Linked DNA regions of Tamandua tetradactyla. The protein of the gene in region 1 interacts with the protein of each later gene in a pairwise test. Links are inferred from orthologs where the notes say so. Each region holds a gene or a part of one and is shown on either strand. Other genes may lie near its edges.

Region 1 (7,993 bases):
CCTAATAATACCAAGTCCTGGCAAAGATGGAAGCAACCGGAACTCTTTGGCATTGCTGGTTGGATTGCAAAAATGGTCTGATAAATTCGGGCAATAGTTTGGGAATTTCTTATATACACTAACCATAGGAATCCTTCTGGATATTAAAAACACCTAATATAAGATATTTTATATTGCCTATAAGAGTTAAGAACACCTAATACAAGATAAATTAAAACATACATTCACAAGAACCTGTATGCAAATGTTTATAGCAGGTTTATTCATGCTCATCTAAAAATGAAACTACCCTAATGTCCTTTAGTTTGGTCAATGGATAAACAAACTGTGGTATATCCAAACAATGGAACACTACTCAACAATAAAGAGTGAACCAGAGATACAAACAACGTGAATGAACCTCAAATGTATTATCTAAGTCAGGGATTGGCAAACTTTTCCTATAAAGAGCCAGAGAGCATATATTTTAGACTCTGTGGGCCATATGTTTTGTCAGAACTACTCAACTCTGCCACTGTACTGTGAAAAGAGCCACAGACGATATGCAAATAAAAAAGTGTGACTGTTCCAATAAAATTCTATGGACACTGAAATTTGAATTTCATATACTTTTCACGTGTCATGAAATATTCTTTTGATTTTTCTCTCTAACCATTAAAAAATTGTAAAGACCATTTTCAGGTCACCGGCTGTACAAAAACAGGCAGCAGCAGGCCATAATCCGCTGACGCCCGTGCCTAGTGGAAGCAGTCAGACTCAAACACTACACACATACTACATACTGCGTGATTCCATCTGCATGGTATTCTGGGAAAGGTAAAACTATCGAGATGGAAAACAAATCAGTGACTATGAGACTGGGTGTGATGAAAGGAATAACTACAAAGGGGTACAAGGGAACTTTTGAGGTGAAGGTATCATTTTATTCCTTGACTTTGTTGGTAGTTGTTCAACTATAAGCATTTGCCAGATAACTGTATAGTAAAAAAAGGTGAATATCAAGATGTAATGGCGAGGCTGGAGGGAACTGCCTGAAAATGTAGAGCTGTGTTCCAGTAGCCATGTTTCTTGATGATTGTATAATGATACAGCTTTCATAATGTGACTGCGTGATTATGAAAACCTTGTGTCTGATGCTCCTTTTATCTACCTTGTCAACAGATGAGTAGAACATAAATGGAATAAAAATAAGTAACAGGAGGAACAAATGTTAAATTTAGTTTGAAATGCTAGTGATCAATGAAAGGGAGGGGTAAGGGGTATGGTATATATGAATTTTTTTCTGTTCTCTTTTTATTTCTTTTTCTGTTGTCTTTTTATTTCTTTTTCTGAATTGATGCAAATATTCTAAGAAATGATCATGATGATGAATATGCAACTATGTGATGATGTGAATTACTGATTATATATGTAGAATGGAATGATCATATGTTAAGAATGTTTGTGTTTCTTTTTTGTCATTTTTAAAAAAAATTTAAAAATTAATAAAAAATTTTTTTAAAAAGGTGGCTACTACTGTATGTAAATTACACCTCAATAAACTTGACGATAAAATGTAATATAAATATATATGTAGAACGGAATGATCAAAAGTTAGAATGTTTATGTTTGTTTTTTGGTATTAAAAAAATAAAAATAAAAAAATAACATATTCATACAAAAAAAAAGTAATATAAATATATAAATTCCTGGGCTATCGGGAAGGGGTAATGGATGCTGTCAGTCCCAAAGAGTCAAATCTTTACATCATAACCAGAAAGGTTGTCTGCTATTAACTGATTCCCTTTCTGTGGTGCCTTGAAGAACATGCAATACCTCTTCTAGTATGAGGAGTACTGTTATGATTTTCTAGACACTCTTGACAAATGGAAGGAAAGTGATTTCTTCTCATACTTAGCCAACTGTGTCCAGAAAGACAAAGTTTCAACTGTGACCCGAGCCTGATCATACAGCACAACTAATATACTCGAATTTTATGACAGTCCTCCAGAAGCCCTACTTTTCAGGAAACTATTGCCTAGAAGAGTTAAAAACACCTAATGTGCTAGCTATCCTACCAACCAACACTTTCCATTTCTTTATAGCATTCAGGTTCCTTTGTATAGGGAAACAGCCCTTCCCAAAGCATATAGACCTGGTAAGAAGGTAAATCCACATGACTGTATTTGTGTTACCTAAGCTGCAAGGTCCCTGCAAGCATCTTTCTCTAGATCCTTCTGCTTACTGCAGTGGAAGGGCTAAGAGGAAAACATATGCCTTAAACTCAACCAAATGGACTTTCTCTTCAGGGAGTTTTATCTCGGGCTGAATCATCTCATCAACTAGACCTTCTCCACAATCTTTCTAAGGAAGCTAGGGGATTATGTGAAACAAAATCCTCTTCCTACATGATTCCATATTACAGTCTGCCAACGAGAAGCAGTCATGTGAGATTTGCAAGGTGAAAGAGGTCAGGCCAATGCTCTCTGGACAGAGGTATAGACAGATAAGTGGACTGACATGAGGTTAAAGCACCTTCTGGGTAGGTCTTTGAAACCCACTTATTTTGTTCCTGCAGTCAAAGTTCCAAAATACAGGCACTTGAGATTTACAGCAACTTCTGGACCAACTCTTAAGAACTACCCACTGTTGCTGCAGGCTGAGATGGTCAATAATTATTGGTAGACCATCACTCTTCCAGACTTCCAATTGTTGTAAAAGCCTGAATTACCACTTTTCATGCTTGGAACCTGTAAATTGGCTTCTGTTTCCTGATACAAATATGAGTGGAGACATAAAAACGTGAGACCGAAGGAGCATGGCAGAAACGAATGAGCTATTATATCCATCATCCCCTTTTTCCTTGATAAGAGAACCTTCAATTTAGCTAAGCACATGGCCCCAGAATACCATATTATTTTTCCTTTATGGCTGGTGTAGCTTATGGAAAATGAGTGGAAATACAATGTACAACTTTCTGAGAAGTATCTACAAAGAAGGGGATATGCTGTTCTTTACTCTTTTCTCTTGGCTGTAATATGGACATAACTGGCAGAGCTTTAGTAGCCATCTGGAATCGTGAGGTAAAGGACACATGCTGAGGATGGAAGAACAGCAACTCAAAAGAAACCTGGACCACAAGACTTTTGGAAGCCCCTCTATGAGTTTTGGACTTCTATTATGAGAAAGCAAAATATAATTCTTTCCATCCTGTTTAGGCCACTATTGGTTTTTACTCATAACCAAAACTAATCCTAAACATGCACAACTAGAATTCATTCCCAGCAAAGGCAGTGCTAGGGGGGAAACTACTGAGGAATTCTTGCTCTGCAGAAATAGAGTTATCTAGATCCAGTCCATACCCAGCCTAGTTTTTCCTTAGCCTTCCCTTTGATGCTGTGAGTTTTCCATATACCCTTTCACCAAATTACTTTTTTGCATAAGTTAGACAGAATGAGTTTCTGCAACTTGCAAACAAGGAACCCTTGAAACTTACAAACTTTGGGAAAATTTTAAGAGTGTCTGGGATGTGTGTCCACTGCCACGAAAAAAAAAAAAAAGCCTAGGATACAATTCTGGACTTGTATCACCCAAGTCATCCTACTTCCACTTTGTGCTGCTTGTCACGCCCAGTACCTGTGGCCCAGTAGTAAATATCCCAGTCATTACTGGGCTCATTAATCAGGCGATCATAGAGGTTCAGCTGTTTTTCTGTCATTTGGTGCAGATATTCTTTAGCAAAGAGGCTAAAATGAGAAAGAGAAAGGAGTTAAAAAAAAGCTGTCTCTGGTCAAAGAGAAATGACACCAAGACTCTAATTCCCCTACCTAAGGAGAATACAGTTTTCCAACATTCCCCTCTTTCTGCTTTCATAGAGTAGGCGGGCTCTTTTGGTTTCTATGGACTCATCAGTTCGCTCCTGCCACGGAGGCAAGGGAATTTCAATCATGTCTTTTTGAGAATCTGCTGGGCTGTCACCTCTGTAGAAGCGTCTGAATGATGTCACCCTGACCAAAGGAGACACTGGGCTGCGACCTGACAGAGCAAGCATCTGAAACAAATAAATCGTAAACATCTTTATAATAAAAACGACTACCATCACTGTCACTCACTCGATACTTACTAGGTGTTAAATGCTTTAGATGTCATTTAACAGCCAAGGAAACCAAGGCTCAAAAAGGTTAAATAACTTACTCAACTTCACCCAAACAGTAACGGAAATCTAGTCTTAACCGCAAGCATCTGTTCTTAACGGGTACCCTACAGGAGATTCTCCTAGCAGAAATATTGTCTCCTTTCTTTACATTCCCTTAAAATTACTACAATTAAGGTTTGTTTTCCAGTCTCTCGCCTGCGTTAAAAGGTGAGGATACAGAAATGACATTGTCCTAACCCCTCCCCCCTAAAGGCTCTCAATCTAGAGAGTAGCACAAAACCATCAAAACACGATCAGAAATCACAACAGATATCAGAGGCTTCAGAACAGGGAGGAATCACAAGAGGCGGTACGGCTTAATTTGCCCGGGAAGTAGGTGACACCTGCATTGGGTCCCGCACCACGACTGATCATGCAACGATATCACGGAACAGGCACAAAATGGGCTCACGAAAGGTTGGAAGCGACCCGAATCTCCTGAGCTGCAGGATCGGCCTGCCCTTGGCCTGCCCTTGCCCTCGGCTCTCCAGCAGCTGAGCCTTCCCGGCGGTCTCTATGACTGCAGCACAAGACGAGACTCAGCCAACGCTGCCTCCTGCCCGGGACCCTGGAACCTTACTATTCTCTCTCACCCGCGCCAGAGTCGGGAATACCGTGACCACTGCCATTTTCCCCGAACAGCACCAGAAGCCTTCAGCCCAGCTACTTCCGGGAATGCCCGGGTAGCAGGACCCGAGGACTTCAGCGCGAGGGTCTGAGCCGGAAGACGCGTCCCTGCGAATAGCGGAAGTGGCAATGCGTGTGACGCAGGCGGCGGTGAGGGCGGGGCCTGAGGCTGAGAGCGGTTCGCGCGCTTCGGGCCTAGTCCGGACTCGCCGCCGCCATATTCCCGGTAACGGGGGCGCGCGGCCACGGGCCGGCGGGGCCGGAAGAGGGGTCGGGGCCGGCGCTGAGGCGGGGAGGGGGTCGGTTGAGCCTGGGGCGTCAGCAGTTGGAGGGCGGAGGGAGGCGCGGGGCTTTAAGGGAGGTGGCCGAGGACGCCGGGCCCGGTCTGTGGGGAGGGAGCTGGGCGGGCCTAGCCTGGTGGGCGAGGACTCGGCCCGGATGGGGAAACGAGGCGGCTGGAGGCGGTGCGGATCCGGGCGGAGCTCCCGGTCCCGCAGGGGCTCTGGTCGGGGCCACCCCGGGGCTTAGGCAGGTTCGGCGGGCCGGGGCTGAGGGCTTCGTCGTAGTCGTCCTTCGCAGCGCAGCCGGAGGGCCCTTAGCAGCTGAGGCCTCGACTTTCCCGTCGCGCCATAGACGGCTGCGACGCAGTTCGAGCCAGGCCCGAGGGTGATGGGCAGCTCGCCCCGCGAGCCCGGTGGCCTGGGAGAGCGGGGCGGGGTGGGGGGGACGGGAGGGGGGCGGCGCGAGGCCGGGGGCGGGGCGGGAGGGGGGCGAGCCTTGGCTGCCGGGATGCTGCATCTCTAGAGACGGGAGGGTGGCAACCCTCGCCCTCCTTCCAGCTCAGGACCCTCTTTCTAACTCTTACTCTTTTCTGGATATCGCAGTGTCATCTTTTTTACTTCGTCGGTTCTCTGCACTCGAGATCTTCCTTCCGAAGCCATGTCTGAAGGGGTGGACTTGATTGATATATACGCTGACGAGGAGTTTAATCAGGTAAGGAGTTATCAGGAGCATCGTGGTATTCGTCCATCAGCTAAGGAATCACTTCCAGCAAACTTGGCAGTGGTTCCAAGCAGTGCCGGGCCTTAAGGACTTACTAAGCCTGGACACTCCCATCAAGTTTAAAGTTTTTCCTCTATCAGAGACCTCTAAAACTACCTAATACCCCGCTTTATGTTCATTTGAGCCTTTAGGCTTAATTTTAAAGAGTTTGATTTAAGAGCAAATAAAAACTCAGGTTTAATTGAATGGTGAATTAACTTGTGGAACTTGCTCCCTCAGGAATCCAAAGGTGGATGTGCTTCTCCTCAGTGACTAACCACACTTAAAAATCAGAATTGTATTTGGTGCACTGTTCATGAGGATGATTAAATAATTTTGATTTCTGTTCTTTTCCATTCTCTCACACTGCAACTGGAAAATGGTGTAGTCCCACCCCTTCGAAGGGCATAGTATAAAGCATTTCATTTCAGCTCTCCGTTGTTTTAGTAGAAAGGCATAGTATAGAGCATTTCATTTTAGCTCTTCAGTAAGTAGCTTGTCTCCTTTCTTGAGAAGTCCATAGCATTTTGGTGTAATAAATTTTATTGATGAACCTTACTGTGCCTAGGGGGAAAACGGGTGAAGGTGTTGAACTTACCAGTTGAAAAGCAGATATATACCCACTCATCTATCCAAGGGTGGGTTTGTTGGTTTCTTAACAAAGAAACCAAGGTTTCTTGGTTTGAATATTGAAAAATGTTAAATATAAGTATCTTTTCTCTTAAAGGGATACTTTTAAGTACATTTTGGTTATGAAATCTTGAGTTCAAATCTCAAGAATGTTTGTAAGTCTCTGCCTAAAGTTTACTAACACCTTGCTTGGTTTATTTTCAGCACTGGACTACTTGGGCAAACTGGTCTCTCTGTGGGCATCTTCCAGTTAGTTCACATGAGAACCTGAAAAGAAGATAATAGAATACTAGGGGGGTTAGTGCCCTGGTTGGGCGCTGACTTTGATATGAGGAAATAGGAAAGGTTGATAGGTGCCATTATTTTCACTAAGTTTGCATTTTGGGGGCGGGGTGGTGGTGGATGGATTGCTGCTTTTTTTATTATTAATAATTCCAATAATACAAACCCTATTCCAAGAATTCCAGCATACCCCCGCCCCTAGATCCTCCAATTTTAACATTTGGCCACCTTTGTCATGTCATTTTCTTTACCTATTTATGTATATTTTCTGAACATTTAAGAGCAGGTTGCATGTATCATAGTCCTTGAACATTTGGTACTTCCATGTACATTTTCTGAGGACGAGGGTGTTTGTTTATATAATCACCTTAAATGAATTTATCAAGTTCAAGAAATTTATCATTTATATCATGCTTGTATTCTATATTCCAATTCTTTTTTAAGTCCCATTAATGCCCTTTTGAGCATTTTCTCCATTTTTAGGTCCTATATAGTGTCATAATTGCATTTAAATGCCGTTACCTTTTTAGTTTTTTCATTCTTTATTTTTCTTAAATTGTGGGAACATATGTAAAACATAATCTTCCAATTCCAACCTCTTTGAAGCGTACCATTCCATGGGATTAATGATCTTCACAAAGGGCAGTACCTTCACCAACCATTACTATAACTTTGTCTTCACTACAAACACAAATCCTGCACTCATTTTACAGTATCTCCCCATTGCTTCTGTCTGACACCCCTGTTAATCTGTGTACTACTTTCTGTTTCTGTGAGTTTGCATATTCTCATACTTTCTTTGTAGTTATCAATGGGATTAAATTTAACGTCCTAAATCTGTAACAGTCTCTTTTGCGTTGATACCATCTTAACTTCAATAGCATACATAAACTATGTTCCCATACTCTTCTGTCCCCTTTTTGTAGGTCTTATCACAAACTACATTCTCATATATTATGAGTACCAAAGCTTTGATTTGTCATTACATTTTTTTTTTAACGTGGGCAGGCACCGGGAATCGAACCTGGGTCCTCGGGCATGGCAGGCAAGCACTCTTACCTGCTGAGCCACCGTGGCCCGCCCCATTTGTCATTACATTTTATGCATTTGCTTTTCAATCTTGTAGAAAGAAAAAAAGTGGATTTACAAAGATACAATAGTATTGCTGTTTATATTTACCTTGTCATTTTCTTTACTGGAGATCTTCAGTCAATTGTCTAGTGACCTTTCCTTATAACC
Region 2 (7,568 bases), on another chromosome or scaffold:
CCTCATGTGGCCAATAAATGGACTGGGAGCGTTTTAGCTGCCACTAACTTACTATGAATTGTCTCTTCCTTTCTGGTTTCTGGCTGGGCAGCCAGTGAGGTTCCCCAGCCTCCAGGGCCCTCGCCTCCAATGTCCAGTTCCCCAGGACAGGCTCTCCCAGTGAGGTCACAGTGAGGTGAGGGTGGAGCAGGACTGCAGGGACCCGCTGGCATGCCCTCGCCCTGCGGGGGCGCTGCCCCACCTCCCTGCATGTCCAGCTGCTCGTTTCACCACCACCCCTCCACTGAGTCTGAGACTGCTGCTGGGAAAGCCTGTGGGGTTTCTGTGGCTGTATGCCCCACACTACCACTGTGGTCACCAGGACCCAGCCCTTACTCCCCCACTAGCTCAGACAGATGGTACCCGTCTTCTGTTCCCTCCCCACCACACAGGCAACGGGAACAGGGCTATATGGTCGGGGGAACAGGTGTGCAGTCTTGGGCCTCACCCCTCCTCATTCCCAGTCCCTCCTGCTTAAGGTACAGTTGCCTTTTTGAATTTTCAAACTAAAAAGCAGATTTATTTTGTATACAAAGCTGGGCCCACAGGCTTCTAGGATCCACCAGGCCATCGGGATGTCTGGGCCCAGGGAGGGGTCAGCTTGGCCAACCCAAGCAGGAGAGGAGTGCCTGGGCCTGGGCCTGAGCTGCCCATCCCAGAGGGCCCTGCTGACAGCCCCATGGGGGAGGGGGAGGAGGCAGAACCCACCTGGGGTGATGCCACCTCAACCTGCCTCTGAAAATGGACGGTGACTTAAGGGCTCTTTCCTGCAGAAAAAGCCTGGCCACCAGTGAACAAAGCTGCCCTAGTCCAGTGGTTCATTTTTGCCTCAGCTTTTTGATGAAGGAGACCTCATCCCGGTTCCGGATACCATAACTGAAAGAGAAGGAAAGAGGGCCGTGTTGGACCTACACAAAACTCCTCAGGGGCTCCCACCTGAGCTCCTGAGAGGCTCATCTAGGACAGTCCACATGTCCGTCCTCCCGCAGCCCCACTCTTCTCCATGCACATGCAGCCCCCCAGCACGCACTCCTCATGCTGGTGAGATCTGCAGTGCACTCAAATCTGCTCCTCTGCCTGTCCTCCACAACGCGGGAGGGCTAAGACCCAGCTCCCTGGAAGCACCCCAGGACTTCTGCTGACCCCACAGGACTTCTTGGGAAGGCAACAGCACCCACGTGCTCTTGGCTCTCCCCTAGGAGGGGTCCTGGAGGCAAGAACCAATCTTCCCAGTGGTGAAGATGCAGCCTGAACTTACTCTCGGAGCTTCTTCCTGTCCTCTGTGAGCTTCTCCCCTGCGGACGTCAAGTGGTACGTCCTCCACACGTAGGACCTGCGGGAGGGACGCAGGTGAATGCCTGCTGCCTCAGCCCTTTGGGACCCGCAGCGGCCTGCCTCTCCTTCTGTGCTATTCCTGCACCACGTGCGCCCCTCCAAGTAGCTCCAAGGAGGTGCTGCTCTCAAAAGACCAAACACCCTCGGCTGCAGAACCAGGCAAGGAAGGGAGGGGCTGCCAGCAGACAGCAGCACCACCAGGAGCCCAGATGAGGATGGCGCAGATGAGGAAGAACTGCCCGAGCTTCTTGGGGCAGGGAGTGCGTCCCTCGCCGCTTTACAGCAGCAGTGCTCACTTGGAGCTGGAGCTACTTCCCCGCCGGCCCACGCCTGCCTCCGAAAGGCTGCCCAGGAGCCACCACCCCACCTACCAGCTGATGTGCTGGATGCCGCCGTCCCGCTCCTGCTTGAGCTGCACGTATCTCTGGATGGCCTTCTTCAAGTCCAGGACCGTGGCGTTCTGCACGACGACCACAGCTGCCACCGGGGACACAAACGGGAGACCGTGGTGGGGACCGACTGTCAGAGCCCACATGCCCTGCCCACCCCTGCTAACAACAAGGCATCCATGCACCACACGTTGTCTCGCCACCTGGCCCTGTGAGGACGGGCCACTTACGCATGACTTCTCCATCCATCTTGCACACACGGACTGTCATTGCCTGTCCATATTCTAGTGCTATCTGGGAATTGACCTCTTCCAAAGTGACCTAGAAAAGACCAAGGGGTGTGTGGGGCCCAGCGCTCCTTCATTACCCCAAACAGCATGAAGGAGAACAAGCTGGCCGTGTCCACACAGTGGTCACCACGTTTTATGAAGGGTAGGGAGGGAAAGGGGGTCTTGCCTGTAAACTAGATTTCCCGCTTACTCGTGTTCCACCCACACATTTACGTTCAAGTTTCAGACTGGACAGAAGCGGTGGGCGTGGGGTGGGGGCCAGGAGTACAGACACAGGAGGATGCGCCCACTCCGGGTCCAGGCCTTTGCTTCCTACAGCCTAAAGGCTGGGCAGGAGAGGACGCCGGGCTGGTCGCTCCACCCGGAGGGCCCTCGGTCACCAGACAGGGCCAGCGTGCGAAGGGTAAGGGGCACCGGCACGCGCACGACCCGAGACGACGGGAGTGTAAATGCACCACTCATGGAGAAGTCAGCTCTGGACTTGTTTGTGCTTAAAGCCTGCCCACCGCGAAGGTTTTCTGTGCACTAACTGCGGCTTTTAAACCTGCTGCGACCGCGCGCCGCGAGCGCCGCCGAGACCCGCGCCCGGGGCCTCCGCCAGCGCGGGCACCTGGGCCCGCCCGCGCACCTGGATGGGGAGGTCGCACAGCAGCGGGTCCTGCACCACCATGGCGAGGCCCTCCTGGAACACGTCCACCGCCTCCGAGTGCGGCAGCGCCTCCTCCTCGTCCTCCTCGTCCTCCGGCGCCAGTGGGCGCGCCCCGACCCCCGCCTCGGCCAGGGCGGCGGGTGCTGGGAGCCGCTCCCGCAGGCTCGCGCGAGGGTGGCAGAGTGCGCACGCGCCGGGACCGCAGCGCGCAGAGCGAGGGAGGCAGGTCATTGGTGCATCTGGAAGACGGGCGGTCATCATAACCAATGACAACCGCAGGACAGTTTGCTGCCCGTCCCACAGGGCGCACGTAAGCGGCGTGTCTATTGGTGAGTTGAAGGACAGGCGGCTGCCAAGGCCAATGAAAGCTCGAGGCCTCGGCACCGACGGGTCCCGGAAGCTGGGGCCGTGGAGACTGCCGGGAGTCGCCGCCATGTTGCTTTTCTGTCCGGGTTGCGGGAACGGGCTGATTGTGGAGGAGGGTCAGCGCTGCCACCGCTTCGCCTGCAACACTTGCCCGTACGTGCACAACATCACCCGCAAGGTGAGTCCCGCAGGCCCGCCGCGCCACGGACACCGGCTTGGTCCCCGCCACCCCCCGTCAGCCCACAGCGCCCTTCCTCCGCTCTCCCCCAGCTTTGGGACTCCCGCGGCCTCCAGCCGCCTCGTACCCCAGGGCCGCCCCCAGGGGCGGGCGCAGCCGCGGCGGTACCCCGACCTTGCTCGCTCGTGCGGCCGCTGCGACGCGGGCCTCCTGGAGGACCCCCACCGCGCCGGGCCTTTGCCCGCTTCCCTCTCCCTGAGGAAGCGCCCTGCAGCTCCCCCGTTATGTCCTCCTCCCGTTTTATTTTTTTCCCCTAGGACTCACCTGCTAACATCCCATATAATTTTTTAAAATTTATTTATTTATTAATTTAAAAAAATTAACAAAAACAACATATTATTCCGTTCTACATATATAATCAGTAATTCACAATATCATCACATAGTTGCATATTATCATGATCATTTCTTGGAACATTTGCATCTATTCAGAAAAAGAAGTAAAACGAAAACAGGAAAAAAAATTTATGCATACCATACCCCTTACCCCTCCCTTTCATTGTTCACTAGTATTTCAAACAATCAATTTTAACATTTGTTCCCCCTATTGTTTATTTTTATTCCATATGTTCTACTCGTTTGTTGACAAGGTAGATAAAAGGAGCATCAGACACAAGGTTTTCACAATCACACAGTCCCATTGTGACAGCTGTATCATTATTCAATCATCCTCAAGAAACATGGCTACTGGAACACAGCTCTACATTTTCAGGCAGTTCCCTCTAGCCTCTCCATTACATCTCGGATAACAAGGTGATATCTACTTAATGCGTAAGAATAACCTCCAGGATAACCTCTCAACTCTGTTTGGAATCTCTCAGCCACTGACACTTTGTCTCATTTCGCTCTTCCCCCTTTTGGTCGAGAAGGTTTTCTCAATCCCTTGATGCTGAGTCTCAGCTCATTGGAGGCTTTTTTTTTTACTTTTTATTTTTCTCCTCTCTCTCTCCTTTTGTTTTAAAATTCTATAATATAACATATTTGTTGTATTTGGTTTGTAGTGTTTTATTGTGTTTTACATTTCATTAATAACATGATGTTGAGGTGACGTGAGGTACCCATTAGCTCTTTTGCCCATTTTGTAATATGCCCATTTTGTTTTCTTATTGTTGAGTTTTCAACACCTTTACTTTTTAGAGTAGAGCACGTTCGTGCTATCTCATTTTCCTTTTTTTCTTTTAAACAGATAAATACATAATTTATCGTTGTCTTCATTTCCATTAGAATACATTCCTGGCATTTGCACCTCTACCATTTCTAGAAGTGGGTATTCTATTTACGTGTAGGTTTCACCTCTTAGAGGTTAGAAATTTAAGAATAATTATTAATGCGATAATTTACTTAGGTACTGATTTTCCCTGAGCACAGGATTAAATATCCCAAACTAAATTTATAACAACATTTTGTTGCGGCTTCATATTTTACTTTCTTCTTTTAGTGAAACCTGGACTTTAAGATGTGATCTTAGAATCTGCAAGTACTGAAGCATAGTTGGATTGAAAATGAACTTCAAGCCATTTTACTGTATAATCAAGACACATCATCCCATCTAAGTCTTTACTTGATCTAAAGTCCTGATATTGATAAGCTTTCGTCTATTACTAATATCCCTTCTCATTAGTAAAATAAAGTGTTATCCGAGCAGATTATCTTAAGTTAAATGCATTTTAAGTTTCTCTAATTTTTTTCTTATCAGCTCTTAGTAATAATTTTTGCTTCCTGTAGGAGGGAGAGTCCTGGAGTGGTTTATTCAGTATACACTGTTATTAATTAATTAGCTCTGTAAACTTCATCAGTTAATTAAGTTCACCTTTCAGAACTTCCTGTTTCTGATCTATAATGTGAGGAGAGTCCTTAAGGTCTCTTCTAGTTCTAACATAAAATTATAAAGACCCAAATTATGTAAATTTGTACATTTATAAATTTCCTTTTAAAACATTTTCAACACAGCCTTATAAAACATGACACAATTTGTTACAAAATTGTGAAGCACTACAAATTACTTTCTTTGGAGTCTTACTGATAAAGTCAGTAAATACACTTATTTTATAAAGGCTTTTTCAAATGTATTGAAATAAAGCCGAAAACCAAGACACTGTAATTGATTATAATAAATATTGTTGCTAGGGACTATATAGATTTTTGCTGCTTAAGACATCTCTCATCACAAAATGATATAAAACCAGTGTTTTTATTAAATATGTAAACTTATCTGAAATTTATTTAGTATCTGATGCTTGTGAAAAATTCCTTTTAAATACATTTAATTTCAGTGGGAGAAAATAGAGAATCTTGATTTTCTTGACATCGTTGGTTATCTCATTCTTCTTAATGTTTGCAAACTACTTAACCATAAGCAATAGAGTCCAAAACTCGTGTAAACCCGAAGTTCCAAGGATGTCTGATAAAAGCCAAGCATAGACTGCTTCGGAAACTCTGTGCAGGGAGTGACCAGTTTACCCCACTAAGTGGTGCTCTTTGTTTTTGAAGTTTGGTTGTATTTGTTGCTCTCATTTTGAGTTATACCCTGGAGGGGTGGGAGAGGAGGAAGGCCTGTCTGAAGCCATTCTTTCTTCTGCTCTGTGCCTCTCTAATCCATACAGAGCTCTCCTCTACCTGTTGACTCCCACTCCTTGGCTCGGGGTGTGCCCTGATCACAGATTCTCTGAGTTCCAATGTGGTGCCAGGGACTGGTCTGTGAGAGCAGGAACTTTTATCTTCTGACTGTTGAAGGGAGGAAGTCTGGGAAGACACGAGGGCGCTTGTGGTTTGGTGCCCAGGGTTTATACCGTTCACTTACTTTAAGAGTCTGAAACTTGTTGTTTGTTAGGTAACAAGCCGGAAGTATCCAAAGCTGAAAGAAGTGGATGATGTGCTTGGGGGAGCAGCTGCCTGGGAGAATGTTGACTCTACTGCAGGTGAGCGGGGAGACCTTTTCCAGTTCATGAGCGGTGGATAGTATGAGGCTGCCAACTATGCCACTCTGTCTCAGCATTAGTGATGATAGTGTGGGCTTCCAAGAATGGAAAGCAAATTATTGTTTTCCTCCTTTAAAAATGGATTTGTTATACCAACGATATTGATAGAAGCCTTGGAGACATAGAGACCTGGGTTAGATTCTCAGGCCGACCTCTTACTGGGGACCCTGTTTGAATCTCTTCATCTGTCTGGGGCCAATAAAGTAAATGATGGGGTGCCTGGCATGTAGGAAGCACCCACCAGATGGTAGCTGTGAGGGCAGTGACAGCGATGGTAGTAGTAAAAACCAGGGCATGCAGAAAACCTAGGGTCTTATTGTCCTAATACAGATTTTTAAAAATCTTTTTTAATATAGATTTTAAAAGTTAATATCAGAAAGCGTTAAACAGCAGTCTTTTTTCAAGTGTGTATTCATTTCTGAGAAAGATACATGTGAGCAGGGAAGGAGAATGGAGAGTTCGAGACATAACCTGTTTTGCAAGGGAGAAGTACTAACTCTTGACTGGTGCCGCGTTTTTCCTGCTGAAGATCCTCAAGTTCTGCTGGCTTAAAAGGCTAGCCTTGGCAGAGTGTGTCCCTGAAAGGCGGTATGTGTCTCTAATAGGAGAAAGGGTGTTTTGGTAGTATGAGAGGGTCAGTTTCTTTCAAGAGCATGACCAGTTTCTCAAAGTGAAATCACTTTGAAGGTAAATATGTGCCTTGAGGCACTTTGAAAGGGAGTAGGGTGTGTGGTGACAGTTGGATCGGAGCAGCCTGAGGGACAGCTGCTGCAGTGGGTCCCTGAGGACAAGTTGGTGGGTGTGTCGTGAGTTCTGAAGATGAGCGGGTGTGTGCTCGTGGTCTTGGTCGGACGATGCACGGGGCAGGGAGCTCTGGGTGCAGACCTGGGAACCCTCATGGCAGCTGGGCGTCACTCTCCATGTTAATTAACCAGGATCAAACTTGACTGGAGAAGAGAAGTGGGTTCCCTGAGAGGAAGAGGAAGCATTTGACTCCCTTAGGGTTAGAGCAGAGTGGGAATAATGCAGCTGCTTACACATTTACTCCCTGTGTGAGGTGCCCTTGGCAGGGAAGAGCAGTTTAGCGGAGGGATTTCGTGGCTTTTAACGTAAGACTGCTTCCAGTAGTTATGGTCATGTCTGTATAAACTGGGCCACTTGCTTGTTCTTGTTGTCAGAGCCATGTCCCAAATGTGAACATCCTCGTGCCTACTTCATGCAACTTCAGACCCGCTCTGCGGATGAGCCAATGACCACCTTCTACAAGTGCTGCAACGCTCAGTGT
Region 3 (7,336 bases), on another chromosome or scaffold:
TGTTGAACAAATATTTGTGACCCTGAGACTCGTTTTTTCTTCCAGAGGCCTCACCTCCGAGAACGGACATGGTAGCTATCTTCCCGCCTGGGCCGCCGTGTCCGGTCACTGCTACTAGACCAGGAGCGGCTTCTTCGTCGTTTATGCTTTCGGCTCCGATAGTGTTCATGGTAACTCCCCCGGCTGCCTCGCTCTGAGGAATGGTATCTTCGGGGATGAGGCATCTGGAACGGAAGGAAAAGTGGAAATAGTGAGGGATGCTTGGAGTTTCCAGAGGTCCCCCTACAAGGACCCACTATTCCAAAGATGCTAACCTGCTTTCTGCTCTTTTACCCCTACCTCTTTTCACCATTCACAACTTCTTCAGTCTTCCTCTGTGCTTACAATTCCTCCTGATTGGAATGCGTACTCAACTACTGTGACTGAAAACTCTGGGACGCTCCCCTTCCACCCATGCTGCTCATTCCTCTAACCTCGTTTTCCCCCAACACGGCTCCGTGAAAGACTCTCAGGTCTGGGCCATAATTCTATCGTGATAAGACTGTGTGACTGACAGAAACTGTCACAGTCCCAAGACAGATCTATGCCACAATGACTTTCTCATAACAAGTGAATAAAGCTATAGCATACACTGTTAGGCTTTTTCAGTCCCTAAGAATGTATCTTATCTCCCAGCTAGATGATCAGTATTCTGAGAGTGGGAATCCAGTTCATAGATTTCTAGATATAGTAGGTATATACCAAATTTAAGCAAGTTTAAGAAATCTGGGCCTGAATCCTTGAACTACTGTCTCTCACATCTTTGTGAGAGGTTTTAATACAGGAGGCCCCAAAGTACAATCAGCTTTCCATCCGACTCCTCCCCTCTTGTGCTAGTAGAGAATAACTATTTTTAATTAATATCAAAATTATGTGGCTGACTCGATAAATCCCAGAAGGACTTGAACAGTGAATAAAAAGTATCTGTAAAGTCCCCTTGGAGGAATGGTGAGAAAGGGGGAAAATTCAACTGCCCCAAGTGGAGAATTCTTGATATCCTCACAAGCAGTGCAGACAACCAAAGCAATAGGCTAAGCCTCCAATCTTGGGGTTTGTTCATATGAAACTTAACCCCACAAAGGAAAGGTTAAGCCTACTTAAAATTAGGCCTAAGAGTCACCTCCACGAGAACCTCTTTTGTTGCTCAGATGTGGCCTCTCTCTCCAGCCAACACAACAAGCAAACTCACTGCCCTCCCCCTCTCTACGTGGGACATGACTCCCAGGGGTGTGGACCTTCCTGGCAACATGGGACAGAAATCCTAGAATGAGCTGGGACTTAGCACCAAGGGATTGAGAAAACCTTCTTGACCGAAAGGGGGGTAGAAAGAAATGAGACAAAATAAAGTGTCAATGGCTGAGAGATTCCAGAGTCGAGACATTATCCTGGAGATTATTCTTACACATTAAAAATAGACGACACCTTTTTAGTTAAGGCATAACAGAGAGGCTGGAGAGAACTGCCTGAAAATGTAGAGCTGTGTTCCAGTAGCCACGTTTCTTGAAAATAATTGTATAATGATATAGCTTTCACAACGTGACTGTGTGATTGTGAAAACCTTGTGTCTGATGCTTCTTTTATCTACCTTATGGACAGATGCGTAAAACATATGGATTAAAAATAAATAAAAAATAGGGGGAACAAACGTTAAAATAAATTTAGTAGACTGAAATGCTAGTGATCAGTGAAAGGGAGGGGTAAGGGGTATTATACGTATGATTTTTTTTGTTTTCTTTTTTTTGAATTGATGCAAATGTTCTAAGAAATGATCATGATGATGATATACAACTATGTCATAAAAAAATGTTCATATTGTGTGTTGATTGGTTTTATTAAAAAAAAATTACTTGGTTGAGAACTGGCCACCCTCTAGTTACTGGATATAGAACTGCAAGGTGCACAGATGTTTTTTAGAGAAAGAATCAAGACAGAAATCATTGTCATAATCTAAGAAGAAGGGAATAGGAGGGCAGAACAAAATGAACAGACCCAGGGATTCAGAAGTAGTGGTGGTGGTGGTAGGATAAAGTGTGCAAAAGAATTAATGACTCTAACATCTGGCTCCCATTCTGAGCCACTGCTTCCCAACTTCCTCAAATTGGGGCGGGTGGTATTTGACTCATTCCTGGCCTAATGGGAATAGGAGAAAACCAATAAGATGCAAAGCACAGGTAATTCAACCTTGTTTAGTTAACACAGTCACATAAATAACACCTTACCACATACATACTGCCACCAAAGTTCCTCACAGTCCTCCTTCCCACAAAGCATATATAGCCTAGAACACTTCTCAACTTAGAAATCCTATTTTTACTTTTCACATTTAAAAAACCCAACACACACTCAAACTCTTTTCGTATCCCACGTGACACACACCGTGTCTTCTCCCTCAGCCTTGGTTCAACTTTGATGTTTTGCTCCTTCTCATCTCTGGGACCTCTCCTATCCTTTACTCCATCACCCGTCTCCTACTTTGGCCCCTCGCAAGTTTCCTATGGACCTCCCCAGACAGATCTAAGGCAGGTCGACCTCTTTCCACTTCATCTCCCTACTCCCCCATTCTGCCACTTCCCAAGTCTCAACTCTCTCATAATCTCGCCCCCGTCCCTTGCCCCCAATTCCATCCTACCCCCGCCCGCCCCGCAGGGCGCGCCCCCACAGCCGCCATCTTTCCGCGCGAACCCGCAGCCCGCGCGCTCACCGTTCTGGCGGCGAGGCCCGTGCGCTTGTCCCACAGGAAGTCCGTGATGGCGGCGGCACTGCGGCCGGAGTCCCGGCACCCCCGCGGCGACGAAGTGCAGCTCCACACCCCCCAACCCAGAACCCTGGGACCTCCCGCCCCGTTCCCGGGCTCCGCTCCAGTCCCGCCCGCCCCTGCTCCGTCCCCGCCCCCAGGATCCACTTGGCGCCGCTCGCACCGCCCCCGCCCGGGGCCCGATCCCAGCTCGGTCTCCGGATCTGGCCTCTCCGATCCGCCGCCGCCACCGTGAGCGAGCACGTACGCACGCACGCAGGCACGCACTGCGTCCCTTCCCAGCTACCCCTGGTTTTCGCCCCCAGGGGCGCGCACGCCATCGCGTGCTCACGTAGGTCGTGGGCGTCCGCCCAATGGGGCGGGAGAGATGCCGAGGGTGGATGTTCCTGGGGGCGAAGAAGGAGTGGCAGGGGCGCACGGACACCTACTAGACCAGTTTGCCCCGCCTCCTCTCGGTCTCCAGTCCTTTACCCTTTTCATCGAGATTTCTGTGGCTTTGTTGAATGAAAGGTGTGTCGTCTCTCCGCAGACCTTATCTTGAGAGGCTTGGCGTGAGGTCTGTTTCACCAGCATAGCCGAAAAATATCCAGTTTTTTAAAACAGTACCTGTCTAACCGCAGCAAAGAGGGGTTCCCAACCTTTGTTCTGAACAAAAGTTATTCATGTGTGTGGGCGGGGGCATGGCCGTGGAAGTAAAGTGTGAAAAATGGAAGGCTGAACAATCAGGTGCCGAAAAAGGGAAATCACTTGAGAACTGTATCCTACGTGCCTTGTACGAAAAATGTGAGAAATATAAGTTCACCGAATCGGGAAAGAAAAAAAAGAGAGAGAGAGGAAGAGACCTTGAGGCTAACTAGGTGAGGTCAGAAACGCTATAGAAGGAATTGACAGTTGACCAGAAAGGAAACTTGCAAGGGAAATTTAAAAATAACCCAAGGATAACTGTATTAACTCAAGGAATATCAGAGGGTAGCTTAGATGGGGGAGTAACCAGATCAAGATTAGACGAGTTAAGCAGCAACGGCTTAGAAGTTCACTAAAATAGGAGTGGAAAGGTAACGAAGAGGTTGGGGAGAAAGACCGAATAGTTCACTTCGTTCTACCATTAACACTTTCTCGGATCATTCATTCATTTGACAAGCATTTACTGAGTGCTACTACGTCCAGCATTGCGCCAGGCTCGGGATTCCTGTTCACCAGAGCCTCACAATGTAATGGCAGAAAAAGATCTGTAAACAAATAATGGCAGCCATATGACAGGCACCGTTATCAACTATGGTGTCATGGTTGCTGTAAAAAGCTCTAGGCTAAAACACTGAATGAAGCTGCATCTGAGCTATAGGTTAAAAAAAAAAAAAAAAAAAAAGCTCTAGGCTCGACCCTGCCTGGGAAAAGAGAGTTGGAAATGTGCTTTTAGGCTTCCCAGGGGAAATCAGAACCAAGTGTTGGAAAGTAAATTGGAGGAGCATATAACTAGGCAAGGAAAACATTTGCAAAGGTCTGGAGATGAAACAGAACAAAGCATTTCAGGGAGCTGTTAGCATGTCAGCATGATTGGAGCCTTGGACTTCAAGAAGACTATCAGAAGAGAGGTTGTTGAAACTTAGTCTAAATTTCGCAGGGCCTTATATGCCATGTTAGGGAGTTTAAATACTATCCTAGGAAGAAGAGGAATTTCGAAGGACTTTAAGCAAGGGAAGGTAGCTACATTTGGATTTTAGGAAGGTAACTCTAGCAGTGTGTCGAAAAAGAATTGGTCTGGGAGAGGTCGGAGCCCCTTTTAGAGGCTTCTGAAATAATCTACGGAGAAAATGGCCCAGACTTAAAGTAAGGCAATGGCAGTAAGAAATGGAGGAAAAGAAGTTGAGATATTTAGAAACTTAAAGCACTTAACATCACATAGCACTGTAATTTCCCTGTGTTCTGGTCTCCATGGGTATAGCCAAGCAGTGGCTTGATGGCTGGGACTTTCGTACTCATATTTATATTCTTGGCGTCCGCTAATGCCAGGCAGAGTCGCGCTTGGTGAATGAATTCGGAAATGAATAACTAGGGGTAACAGCTTAGAAGAGAAGAGATTGAAAGGGAATATGCCTAGGAGAGCGCTAAGAGAAGGTGGAATTGAAGAGGACAAAAGTCCGTGGGAGACAGTGGGTAAGAATTTAAAAAATCATTCCCCATTCCTACCGCTGGCGTTCAGTCCCATCGCTTTCCCCAGTGTCAGGAGACACAACCCACGCCGGTTTTTCCCGCCTCCTGCGGGAGGCTCCACCCCCTGGCGCTGTGTGGTTGGACGCCCTCCCCCTTCCCGCCGGACTCTTGGCCACGCCCCCTGGCTCAGGCTGCGCGTCCCCGCCTTCTCGGCGATCTGCACTTGGAGAGTCACCTCAGTTTTGCTAAGCCACGCCCACCCCGGGACCTCCCGCCCCCGCCCGCACTGCCTGGCTTTCGCGCGGCCCTCGCCAGGGGGCGCCACGCAACCCGCCCGCCCGCCAGGCTGTCGCACACACCCCCCCTCCGCCCAGCGCCAGGGCAGCTCCCAGCCGACGCCGCCTCCGCTCCGAGCCCGCCGGGCTATGCAGGCTCCGGCTCCGGCTCCGGCAGGGGTCAGGGAGGTGTCCCCGATGGCCGCGGTGGGATCCAGGAGGCCAAGCGTGTAAACTGGCGGGCGTCATGGAGGCAGAGCGGCGGCCAGCGGCGGGGGCCGGCGACGGGGCGACCCCTGGGCTGGAGGCGGCGCCTCCTGCTGCCCCGGTCCCTGCGACCGCGGCTTCGGGTCAGATTCCCGGGTCCGGGTCTGGGACCGGGTCCGAGCCCAAAAGGAGGCAGCTCAGGACGCTGCTCCAGCCCACGGTCAACAAGTTCTCGCTTCGCGTGTTCGGCAGCCACAAAGCAGTGGAAATCGAGCAGGAGCGGGTCAAATCTGCGGGGGCCTGGATCATCCATCCCTACAGCGACTTCCGGTACTGGGGGCCGGGCAAGGAGGGCGGGGGACACAGACCCCACCCCCGTGGGTGCAGTACAGGGTCCTCTCCAGCCTCCTTGGTCACTTCATTTCCGGCACAGGGGTCCCTGGGTGGGGCGGAAAAGTCACCTCTCCCCACCTAGCCTGGGAATTCCTGGGTGGGGGGTATCTGGCCGGAGGTCCTCGATGATTTCTCGGGCTGGGGAAGCCCAAAGGGGCAAGCAGATAACAGGGAATCTTCGGGGATCTGGAGTTCCCGTTTCAGGAACCTGGGACCCATCTGGACCACAGGGAATGTCAGGGTTATGGATCCCTGCCTCCTCCAGTCCTGCTTGCTGGGGATCTGGGATATTATTCCAAGGTTCAGGGTCAGTCTTAGGGAGAAGCCGAGCTCCGCTGTCTTCCACCGGTCAGCATTTGCCTAGGTTAGGAATGCCGAGGATGGGGGAGTGGGGAGGTACCCGATAACGGCTCTGGTCTCTGTCCCTGGTGCTGAAGGCGGTGGGCCGGAGCCGGGGCCGGTACTTTGAGCGATTGAGGCAACTGCAGCGGGACACGGCCACCGCCCAGGTGATTCCCAAAGAGAAGAAACGAGGGTTGGGGGTGGGGCCATTTCACGGTCCCCTTCAGGCTGTACCTCTACATCAAGGTCGTTAGAGGAGGAGAGTAGCCCTGTCCTTGGGGGAAATGAAGGACAGCTTTTAAATGGGCCAGGGATGGGTGCAAAGCACCTACCCTGGGGAAAGAAAGGACAAGGTGTGACTCAGGAGCTGAGCACACAGAACTGGAGACCTAGACATCGTCTTGAATCCACAGACATGTGCCCTCCCTAATGCTTCTCCTTGCCCCATTGTTCCTTCCAGTCCTCTCTTTTCTTCATTCCCCCTACCAGTGTACCTTTCCTAGTCTGTATGGGTCTCCTTCCCTTGCCCCATTTCACTCTCAGAAACGTGTGTCCCCCCTTACGATCGGGATTCTTTTCTGTCCTCTCTACTGCATCACCCGCTGGGCTTGTGACCGCCTGTGAGTCAGGCTGTGAAGATGCTCTGTGGTTAGGCAAGCCCTCTTTCTCTCTCCTTTCTTAGCTCACAGTACAGGATTTCTCCTCAGCAGCCGAGGGGGGTTGAGGGCTTCTTGTTTGTTGAAAGTACAGTCTGAGAGATTCCTGGAGGCCTGGAGGGAAATCCTGGTCTTGGGGACCGCCAAGCCCCTTTCAGGGTCTGAAAGGATTAATACCGCAGTCAAAACCATAAGGGGCTGGATCCAAGGTTCATGCTAGGATTAGATGTGTTCTCGAATTAAACCTCTATATTAATTGAGACCCTATATAAATTGAGACTAAAGATAGTCCAGTAATTTTCTCTGAATGAGGAATTCAGCTCCCTCCTGACATCTTTCCACAGCTTCTGCCACAGGAAATGGGTTTCCCCTGCTCAAGCCCTTGCCTGTGCTCAAGCAGAGGCCCAGAGGGCATAGGGGTGTAAGAAGAGGAAGGGAACACAGCCTTGCTATCTTGCTACCTCCTCTGGAGCTCCTCCTTAAGTGCAGCCCTGTCTGAGGGGCTGTGTGGGGAAGAC

What was found.
Region 2: the proteins of CPSF7 (region 1) and SNRNP25 interact in binary tests that used the Homo sapiens proteins (3 or more experiments, as listed by UniProt). The two-hybrid records come from large-scale screens. The link is inferred for Tamandua tetradactyla from reciprocal best matches to the Homo sapiens genes CPSF7 and SNRNP25.
Region 3: the proteins of CPSF7 (region 1) and CLK2 interact in binary tests that used the Homo sapiens proteins (3 or more experiments, as listed by UniProt). The link is inferred for Tamandua tetradactyla from reciprocal best matches to the Homo sapiens genes CPSF7 and CLK2.

What each region holds. Positions count from the first base shown.
Region 1 is NC_135335.1:13,708,921-13,716,913, forward strand, and holds the start of CPSF7 (cleavage and polyadenylation specificity factor subunit 7), read left to right. Parts: upstream 1-4,907; 5' UTR 4,908-5,027; exon of another isoform or gene 5,028-5,100; intron 5,101-5,228; exon of another isoform or gene 5,229-5,333; intron 5,334-5,685; 5' UTR 5,686-5,740; coding exon 5,741-5,794; intron 5,795-7,993. Other genes in the region: SDHAF2 (succinate dehydrogenase assembly factor 2, mitochondrial), read right to left, coding at 3,616-3,725, 3,807-4,030, 4,768-4,803.
Region 2 is NC_135349.1:57,278,551-57,286,118, forward strand, and holds SNRNP25 (U11/U12 small nuclear ribonucleoprotein 25 kDa protein), read right to left. Parts: upstream 2,883-7,568; 5' UTR 2,724-2,882; coding exon 2,682-2,723; intron 2,625-2,681; exon of another isoform or gene 2,085-2,624; coding exon 1,994-2,084; exon of another isoform or gene 1,852-1,993; coding exon 1,746-1,851; exon of another isoform or gene 1,373-1,745; coding exon 1,298-1,372; exon of another isoform or gene 916-1,297; coding exon 858-915; 3' UTR 530-857; downstream 1-529. Other genes in the region: POLR3K (DNA-directed RNA polymerase III subunit RPC10), read left to right, coding at 3,136-3,246, 6,136-6,223, 7,462-7,568.
Region 3 is NC_135330.1:8,215,276-8,222,611, forward strand, and holds the start of CLK2 (dual specificity protein kinase CLK2), read right to left. Parts: upstream 3,030-7,336; 5' UTR 2,741-3,029; intron 225-2,740; coding exon 55-224; intron 1-54. Other genes in the region: HCN3 (potassium/sodium hyperpolarization-activated cyclic nucleotide-gated channel 3), read left to right, coding at 5,468-5,757. UniProt on the Homo sapiens protein: Dual specificity kinase acting on both serine/threonine and tyrosine-containing substrates. Phosphorylates serine- and arginine-rich (SR) proteins of the spliceosomal complex.